Linked DNA regions of Drosophila melanogaster. The protein of the gene in region 2 interacts with the protein of the main gene of each other region in a pairwise test. Each region holds a gene or a part of one and is shown on either strand. Other genes may lie near its edges.

What was found. Proteins that work in one complex are often made in the same cells at the same time.
Region 1: the proteins of CG14817 (region 2) and Usf interact in a two-hybrid assay, tested with the Drosophila melanogaster proteins (one large-scale study listed by BioGRID).

The regions. Positions count from the first base shown.
Region 1 is NC_004354.4:4,544,060-4,550,590, reverse strand, and holds Usf (Usf), read left to right. Parts: upstream 1-1,796; 5' UTR 1,797-2,162; coding exon 2,163-3,205; intron 3,206-3,766; coding exon 3,767-4,037; 3' UTR 4,038-5,974; downstream 5,975-6,531. Other genes in the region: CG11436 (uncharacterized protein), read left to right, coding at 1-181; CG15912 (uncharacterized protein), read right to left, coding at 777-1,517; CG3568 (uncharacterized protein), read right to left, coding at 6,187-6,357, 6,415-6,531.
Region 2 is NC_004354.4:1,875,755-1,879,172, forward strand, and holds CG14817 (uncharacterized protein), read right to left. Parts: upstream 1,517-3,418; 5' UTR 1,386-1,516; coding exon 1,215-1,385; intron 1,158-1,214; coding exon 1,008-1,157; 3' UTR 540-1,007; downstream 1-539. Other genes in the region: CG14805 (uncharacterized protein), read left to right, coding at 1,673-2,443, 2,501-3,250; CG14818 (uncharacterized protein), read right to left, coding at 3,385-3,418.

The DNA of each region.
Region 1 (6,531 bases), 2.7 Mb from region 2:
GGACATGCAAATGCGATTGGAGAGCAAGGATGTGGACATTGATGTGCTGGAACGGGATCTAAAGGCCAATACGGATGCGGTCATTCGCCAGGTGTCCACCGAAATCCGGAAACAGTTCAATTTGGAGCAGCTTAAGGCGGCCAAGGCCCAAATGCCTGCGAAGGCGACAAAGGCTACATAGTAATGATTGCCATTACAAACAGATGGACTGGCACATTCCCTTCACAAAGCAACCAAATATTTTTGGTCACAAAATAGCTTGTACGATTAATCTGTTCTTAATTAGTATTTAGGTATGTGTGCAAGAGACGTGTGCGAGTGTGTGTGTGTGTGTGTATAGGATAAGTTTTCAGGTATAGTTTTATCAGGCTTTATACACGGAAATGTTCGAAAGGAGGAGGTTCTTTCGATGCATAATACAGCATCGTTATGTCACTTTAATTAATAATATCTTTTAATGAATATTTAAACAACGACTTTTTCACATTCGATAAGAAATAAGCTTTGAATTGTATTCAACTAAGAACTCTTTTGTTTATTTCTGTTTTCAGACAGCTTATTTTTATATTTGTTATATTATGTTTTATATTTGTCCAAAACCTCCTACCTCGAATTTCCCAAAAAAATATCATTAAGATCGCGTATTTATATTTACCACTAGTTTTACATTCAGTTATGTTATCTTAATGCAAAAAAAAAAGGAAATCTACAAAAATAACAACAGCCATTATCCAATCGAAGAACTGCAGGTTCCCGAGAGGAGTTTCTTTGGTGGATTACCATCGGATTGGTTGGGTTTTTAAGGCCTCCAACAGACTGGAAAGACTGGCAAAAGAATGGGGATTGTCAGCGTTGCTCACAAGCAAACCGCTCCAGCCGCAATTCCGGGCACCTTCATAGTCCATATCCAACTTGTTGCCAATGTGAAGGGCCTGCTCCGCTGGAATTTGCAATCTCTGCAGCGGAATTTCGAAGATACCGCGTTCGGGCTTCATAACACCGGCTTCGTAGGAAGTCAGAATGAAATCGAATTTGCCGGCAAAGCCCATGGCGTCCAGGACTTGTGGCAGTGACGAATCGAAATTGGAGATGATGCCCACACATTTGCCGGCATTTCGGACGTTCTGCACCAACTCCTGGGCACCATTCACGTGACTCCAACAGGCGCTGGTCCGAAAAACGGAAATTAGCCGCTGGCCGATCTTCTCCAGCTTCTCGGGCGCCAGACCGTGGTCCACGCAGCTAAAGGTTCGAGCCACCAGCTGAAGCCACCAACGCTGCCAATCCAATCCCGGCGAGTAACGGCCAAAGTTTGGATGTTCGCTGCTCATCGCCTTGAATTGCTGGCGAAAGCATTGTTCCAATCGGCGGCGATCCACTCCGGTGACCCCGAACTCCTCTGCCGTCTGATGGTACTGGCGAAGGGGATCCTCCAGGCGAAGCAGCGTGTCCGTTACATCGAAGGTCACCAGGCGAAAGCGTTTCAAATTCGCAACAAATTGCGAAGTCAACGACATTTTGGCCAACAGTGTGGTATTGTTTGTCCACTAGATATTACGTATATGCATTTGGTATATTTTAATTTTCGAAAAACCTCCAAAAACACATTTGCTTAGTTGAGAATCGTTTATTGAATTAAATGAAGATGCTTTTCTTCATTTTAAAGTTACAGATTTTCTACTTGTATGAAGAGTTTATTTTTTTTTTTGAATACAAACAATTATTTGGAAATGCCGCAAAAATACATTGCCTAAATTCTGGTATTTTTCGCAACAACTGTACTGTGTGTATTTGTCGGCATATATTTGCTGCCCGCCGGCGGGCACACTAAGCCAAACGAAAATAATTTTGTTACAAAAAAAATCAACAAATCGTATTGTTAAATGGCCGTGCGAACACGAACGACCATAAATCCGCCGCAGCGCTCGATTTCAAATCAAATCCTCGAGGCAGTCGGTAGTTAATAATACCGCAGAGCGGCCAGATCGGGGGATATCTACCATCCATATCCGTGTATCCTCCAACTAGAGATCGGAGCAAATAGTGGAGGAGATCCCGAATAGATCCGGAGTTACGTGATTCCCGGCGACACGGATACGATTCTGGCTGGGATTGGGCTATTGGAATTGGTGTACTGCTAACGGCGGATCATCGATGCAACAATGAATGTTCACAAGCGGCCACGTCTGAATATGGAATTCGGCTCCTCCACCAGCAATACCAACACTTCCACATCCCCGTCCTCCGTAAATATCAGCAATGCGAATCCAACAGCTGGACCTGGCCTCATGACCATTACCAATCACCACACCGCTGATTTGTCAGAGGCCCTGGTCCACAGTTCCTTTGCCAATGGTCAGCAAAGTCTGATTCTCACCAGCGACACGGGAAATCCGCTGATGAATAGCCAAGGTGCTCAGATATTTCTCACCATTTGCGGAGACGAGAACTCGGACGATTCGCAGGAGTACTATACGATTAAACAGGAACCGGGATGTGATCTAGATATCCATTCGCTGCTGCCTAGCAATTTGCAGCTGCCCAACAATCTGCAGCTGCCCACTGGCTGTGAGATATATTTGGTCAAGGAAACCGGCAGCTTAATGGGTGAGCCGCCGACGAAGGCGGCCATCAAGCTGGAACTAGATACGCTAAGCGAAAAGCCGCTCCTTCCATCTGTTACAACTTCCTCCAGCACACAGTCCGCGGTAATAACCGCCCAGACCGTGAATCCTCCCATTCCAGGTAACATCAACACCACCACCAGCACCACTAGCACCACCACCACCACCAGTGTCCTGTATGGCTCCCATGGCAATGGTCATGGCCATGGCCATGCTCACGCCCAAGCCCGATCCCAGCCAGAATCAGCTGGCCAAACACCATCCAGCAAACTGGAGGCGTACAAGAAACGCGATGATAAACGTCGTGCCACGCACAACGAGGTCGAACGCCGGCGCCGCGACAAGATCAACAGCTGGATCTTCAAGCTCAAGGAGATGCTGCCCAGTCTGAGCTCCAGCTCCAGTTTCAGCGAGGCCAGCACGAGTCCCAGCACCAGCGGAAGTACGAGTACCAACGGAAGTAGCCATTCCAAAGGCAATGCCAGCAGTTCCAGCGGACGAGCGCCGCCCAATGACTCCAAATCGCAGATCCTGATCAAGGCATGCGAGTACATCAAGAGCATGCAGGGCGAGATTGACACGTGAGTGGAGACGGGTTTGTAGGGGGGAAACCACTGAATCAGAAATCCACAAATATTGTCCGCTATAAGTTGCTGTACTACAGTTATATATACAGCTATATAACTTTTTTGACTTGTTAATGGTCTTAAAAAATGAGTTTGCTTATAGATCTTAATCAACTCCATTCGCTCAATTGAGCTTACATCATGTATCGATCGCATACGGTTAGGAATAAAGTTACCCAAAGGGCGGACACTTGATCTTTCCCACTTTTTCCGTAGAAATGCGTACTTAAAGTGCTGATATAGGGCTGGTGTTATCTTTTTGCAAAACAAAATCCCCATTTTGGAGCGGTTCTTTTTCGCCACTATCTCGTGCAATATGAGCTGGACTCTCGAATGTCCCTGTGTCACTCAAGTCTTGAACACAACACTCTCTCACACTGATCGAATGCGGTTTCCACCCAAACAAAACCCAACAAAATCATACAAAGCCAATCAAACACCTGATCCACCGATTCACCGATCACCAAACATAAACAAACCAATTACTCAACTTTGTCTATCCCCACCAATAAACAGGCTGCGCGACTGTCTAAGGGAGACGGATAGCCTAAGGGCCAGCAACCAGGCGCTGCGCGAGGAACTTGATCGCCTGAAGCGTCAGCAGCAGCTCCAGGAACGCTTCCACACGGCCGGCGGAAGATCGACGTTTAATGTTACCCTAAATTCGCTGAACAGTTCCGCGACCAGTGATCTATTCGAGGGAATCGATACGACACCCAATCTGGCCGCCGTCTCGTCGCTGGGATTCGGCAAGCGTGGCCTGCTGATCAGCGATTTTGATGAGTAAACAAAATCTGCCTGCGAAATAGGAGTGGATAGACAAAAAAAAAAAAAAAAAAAATAGAAATGAAAAACATATGGGTGGACCGATTGGGTTGCTGGTTACGGGAATAAACAAATATGGAGGCGGCGGATGGACAAGCCCTGGCGCCTTCAACAAACATATACGCCCATCCACCAAAGAATGACGTGCAACGTACACGCAACGCAACACACGCAGTACAATAAACGGACATGACGAGTGATTCCTTGTTATCGCCGCTCTGTTATATGTTATATAAGAAAAGCAGCATATATTACATATGTGTATCGATATGTGTATATGGTTATGTATATGGCTATGTATATGCATGTACATATATGCAGTCGAACTTGGGTGACTCAAGCCAAGTTGTTGGCCTAACCGCTTTGACAAAAAGCTGTTCTCAATTGAGTTTAATTAACGAGCCACGGCACAACACAGCTGCTTTTGTATGTTATATGTATCTGTTATTGGTATTATTCCTAACCAACCCCCCCCTCCAAAAAGTGAGCGCCCAAAAAGAAAAAAAACAAATCATGAAAATAACGATCGAACGAATTTTTGTACCACCCCCATGCCGCGATCATTATCATATTTTGTTTAGAGTCTTGGAATATTAGATCACAAACAAATATTGTTGATAAGAAGCTTTAAAGCACGTTCTGTTCTTCCATGTTTTTTTTTTTCGTATTACATTATGTTTAAGATATACGTAGGTATAGTTGTTTTGATTTGCGCAGCGAATCTAGAACTATAACTTAGCCATGTTTCAAACAAACTCTTTGTGTTCATTCAAGAGAATTCACTATGTATTCACTTTCAACAAGAGATTGTTGTATTTAAATCGAAATATGTTTTTCAAAAATATCAATATTGAAATATTAGCAAAGTACAGCGCAAGATAAGTATAAGTATAAGTAATTTCTTGCTGAAAGTGAAAGTGGAAACTGAAGTGGTTAACAAAGTTTTCGATTTGTTGTTATACAGGAAATTAGTTGTAAGTCTGAAGTTTGAGTAACAAAAGTTCGATTGCACAGATGTGAAATGATTTATGTTCTCGGATCCTCAAGCGGTTTGCCATCATTATATACAAACGTACATACATACCTATGAATTACCCAGAAATACAAGCCTAGAAAAAATCTAAAAGCGTTAACGATACCTACCTATTGCATATATACCTTTAACTAAATCATATTTGGAGCATGTTTGTGCTTGATTTTTCGATTTTATTGTACTGTTTCTCGGCACTAATTACCTACAAAAAAAAAAAAAATGTAACGAAAATATACTATATCTAGTTATATCGTATATATATTATATATATATATAAATATATATGGTCTATATATATATATAGAGAGAGAGAGAGAGAAAGAGCGAGAGGCAAGTGTACATACGTAGTGCAGTCGGTAGAACAGTGGGAATTCGAGCGAGATGCGGCTATATAATGCCGCACTGCTCGCCGGGGGCGTGTGCACCGTTACAGATAAAATGCTATTGTTGATAAAGAATAATATTATATTATATTATATTTGAGCATAATGTTGTTGTGAATGTTATATCACTGTTTTCGATATACGACGCTGTTTCAGAAGTATAAGTATACAGAACAGAAGTGTTTTAAATACGATTCATTTGTAATAATGAAAATGCCAAAAAAAAAAGCAAAAAAAAAAAAAAAGAAATCAAACACACCAACCACACCAAAATACAAACACACTAAGATTCAGGATTTTAAGATATAAGATGGGGTACTGGGAATTGGATTATTTAACCCATGGCCGAAAACGAAATGGGATCTTGTGTTACTTGTTGCTATCTATATGCAGTACATTACAATAATATCACATTTCTGTCATTTGACAGCTAATAATTCTATTCAATTTCAATAAACGAACTCAGTAATGGTTAACACACACAATCAATTTCTCATTCAATGGAATTGTTGGCATGCGGGCATTGATTCTTTAGAAGAATATGGTGGTTTGTTCGCACAGCTGGCTTTCCATGATTCCATAAGTTCATATGTTCATATGTACATATGTACATATGTACATATGTATCAGCAAAAAAGCTGATCTCTTTATTGTAATATATTTTAAGGATTACATAGTGCTTAGATACATTGTGTTTACACAATCAGTCGCCTAGCGTAGTCGCCTACATGGAGTAGTCCGTGTTCCACTGATGCAATGTGCAGATTGGCTCCGTTCATATAGTGCACATTAATGTGGGGATTTTGGAGTTCAGAGATTAAAGTGGAACAGGCTGCTGCTGGATCCCCAGTGCTGATTAGCATATTCTGTAGGGAAATAAGCATTACAAATTGTAAACCTTAGTAGAGTCACTTCTTGCATACCGCCCAAAATTCGTTGCCAGGCAGGGCATTTCCATCCCAGGCGTATGTCACCACGGGCAACATGTCCTCCGTTAGTTTGTCTCCGGGATTTCGGACCGAATTGCGAATGCGAATGCC
Region 2 (3,418 bases):
CGTATACAGCAGCAGGAAGGCAGTTCAGCAGCAGCAACAAATATGCATATATCTATTTTTTTAAAGTTAATTTAAAATTGTTACAAATGTTTTATTGAGGTTATGCGCATCATTAACCAAAAGCAGGCAAATCGCAAATGATAGTAACAAAAAAACAAAACGAAACTTAGGACAAATGAGAAGAGGCAACCTCGTAGCTACAACCAATCTCTTGGCGTTTCCATTGGTATTATTGCTATAACAAGTCGAGAAGCTGTCGAGAGGCGCGCGACTCGGACACGAAAGCAAACCCTAATCCCCTGCGCCCCAAAACTAGTTAAACTCCCTAGTATTCCGATGACCATTCCCTATCCTTGTGGCGTTTGGAAAATATGATTTTTCAATTTGAAAAATGTTGAAATTGCTTTCTAAAAGTGAGACCCCTGAATTGAAATTTAAGTGTGCATTAAACTAAACCAACTCCAATACAAATGAAGATGAAGCAGCAAACAGCAGACAAAACATCCATTAAATAATAAAGTTTTAGTCTATAGCGTACTAACGAATTGATGCTGGGAGCGTTCTGATAATGGCGATTTGTCCGAGCGATCGGAAGTGGAAACGACGAAACGTGTTACATGCCTTGCATATGTACATAACAGTTCATATACATAACATACAAGAATTATTGATATATACACTTAGACACGCAATTTAACAAATAAAAGCGATATGAGCGCCAAACACGAAGACAACGTTAAGTGAATCAAGTGGAAACTTTGCCAAGTGCACTGCCTTTCAAATCGATTGGTGTGAGTGCCTAGTCCACCATTTCTGTCCACTGGGATAATGCCTTTGAGGTGACACACCAATAGCAAGCTGGTAGTCAGTCCTCGCGGAGTAACTTGTATGTTAATATAACTAATCGGGTGATGAAACGACTACTCTTATCCAGCAGGTATTATATAATTTCCATAACATCTAGATTTATTTAACAAATAACGCCGGTTTAGCAGCTGCGACGACGGCTAGTCCCAGGCCTCCTTGATCTTCAGCTGGTTCAGCCGCTCCTCGATGGTAACGTGTGGCTTCATCTTGCGCAGTGTCTGCTCGTCCGTCCATCTGGCAACGAGCTTCTCGCGCTTCTGCAGCTCCTTGGCATGACCGAATGACTGCTCCTGCAGGCGGGAAGTGTGGCATTAGGTGAGGCAATCCGTACAGAGAGCAGGACTTACCATGGTGAGATACGGGTGTCGGAGGAGTAACATTACCTGCTCCTGGCGCTCGTACTCGTGGGTCAGGGTGTCCATTGCTCGCTGACTGACCGGTTTCACCAGGCGCCGCTTGCCCCGGAATATGTGGCCGGGCACAGTCTTCTTGAACAAATTGATCAGCGTCAGGTGCATTTTGTTGCTCAAGTGCCAAGTAAAAACTACTTCAATCCGCTAACTTTTTATTTTATAATAAATTATTATTATTTCTACTTTGTCCCGAATTTGGATGTGACCAAGTTTCGCGAAGGGAAAAACCACATCGATTATTTTAGTAACTGGTCGATACGCCAAGACAAATCATGGTTTCGCTTATCGATAGGAAACTACCGCTTATTTCCGGTTGAACTTTAGAAGTCGTAATGCAATAACAATATTGGTACGTATTGTAACAACGTCGCGCATTTCAACCCGATCACAACATGGAAGACGCCGTGGAGGCCCTTTTCATCAGCACGAGCAGCGAGGACAACACGACATGCAGCGTGCAGGATTTGCGGACAGGCACAGACCTGATGCGCTACAAGGGCGGTGGATGCGCCCAGCACCACAGCCTGAACATGATCCACCTGAACTACGTGATGGCGGCGAACTCCGCCAAGCCACTGCTCCACGTGTGGCCCATCAACAAGCAAGAGCAGATGGCCGGACTGCGGTTCGTGGTGCCCGGCAAGGTCAACGCCTTGGCCCTGACGCCTGATGGGAACTTCTTGGTGGCCGGCATCCAGGAGAACATCTATCTATGGCACATGAGCTCCGGCCGTATGCTTAACACCCTGTCCAAGCACTACCAGGCGATCACTTGCCTGCGCTTCACGGACAACGGTGAGCACTTCATCAGCGGCGGCAAAGACGGAGCTGTGCTTGTCTGGGATCTCACCTTCTCCGCCGCCCCACTGGACACGGGCGGGGGCAAGGATAGCACGGAGCCGTTGTACAGCTTTAACGATCACGGTCTGGCGGTCACTGATCTATACTCCGGCATCGGAGGCATCCGTTCCTATCTGTACACCGTATCGTTGGATCGCTGCTGCAAGGTATATGACCTGTGCGGGGGCGTCCTGCTGCTGAGTGTGGTGTTCCCAGTGGCCCTGCATAGCGTGATTGTCAGCAAGATGGAAACTAGGGTGTATGTTGGCTCCAGTGACGGCAAGGTGTTTGTCTTTAATATGGAAAACGCGCCGCGCATGAAGGTGAGTCCAGATTTCGTTTATCCACTGCTTTGCCAACTAATTCCTTTACTTACCCAGGAATATCACCTAGAGGGGGAGGAAATCCAGGCCTTTGTGGGCCACACATACGGCAAGGCCATCACCTGCCTGGCTCTGAATATAAGCGCTACAACTCTGGTCTCCGGGGGCGAGGACAATCAGGTCTGCGTCTGGGACGTGGGCAGCAGGCAACTTATTAAGAGCCTGTCCCAAAAAGGCTCGGTAACCAATCTGCATATCCGCCTGCTCAGCCCAGCCATCTTTCTGCCGGAACACAAGCAGCCGCAGATGTTCGCCGACAGTCTAAAGCGAATGATTAGTCCGTGGGATGAGAATGACTGTATCGAGCTCTTCGATCCGGACTACTCCGGGGGACGCAAGACACCGGAGCTGGACTACACCCAAAGTCATCCGGGTACGGATGAGGAGATAATACTCAAACTTATAGCGTCCATGAGTTCGGGAAAGAACGAGGACGACGAAGGAATTGAGGCGGAAACCAAAGCTACAGATGTCGAGGATTCCGAGGTCGAAGAAGAAGAACCTGAATCCGAGCCAATGGAAACCGCCTCCAAGGAAGCTGAGTCCGAAAAATCGTATGCAGAATATCAGCCAGACTCAGCACAGACAAGCGACGAAAGAGTGCAAGAGCTGCAGGCCGAGAATGCGCGCCTCAAAGCGCAGTCAATGCGCTTGTTCCAGATAGCTTTCAAGTATATTACTAGCGATACCAATGGCCAGGCTGAAATCACAGAGAAGACAAAGCGCAAGAAAGCGCGGAAGACATAGTGAACCTTAAGCTTGCTTTCAATTACGTTTACTTAGGACTTAGGACAAAAATACATGATAATAGAAAAAAAACAGCACTGATTGTGCCTAAAAACGATTTGGATGAACAAAACAATAACTTCTCGTAGAGGGATCTACTTGGGTGCCGCTTCGCTGCCCGCCTGCCCG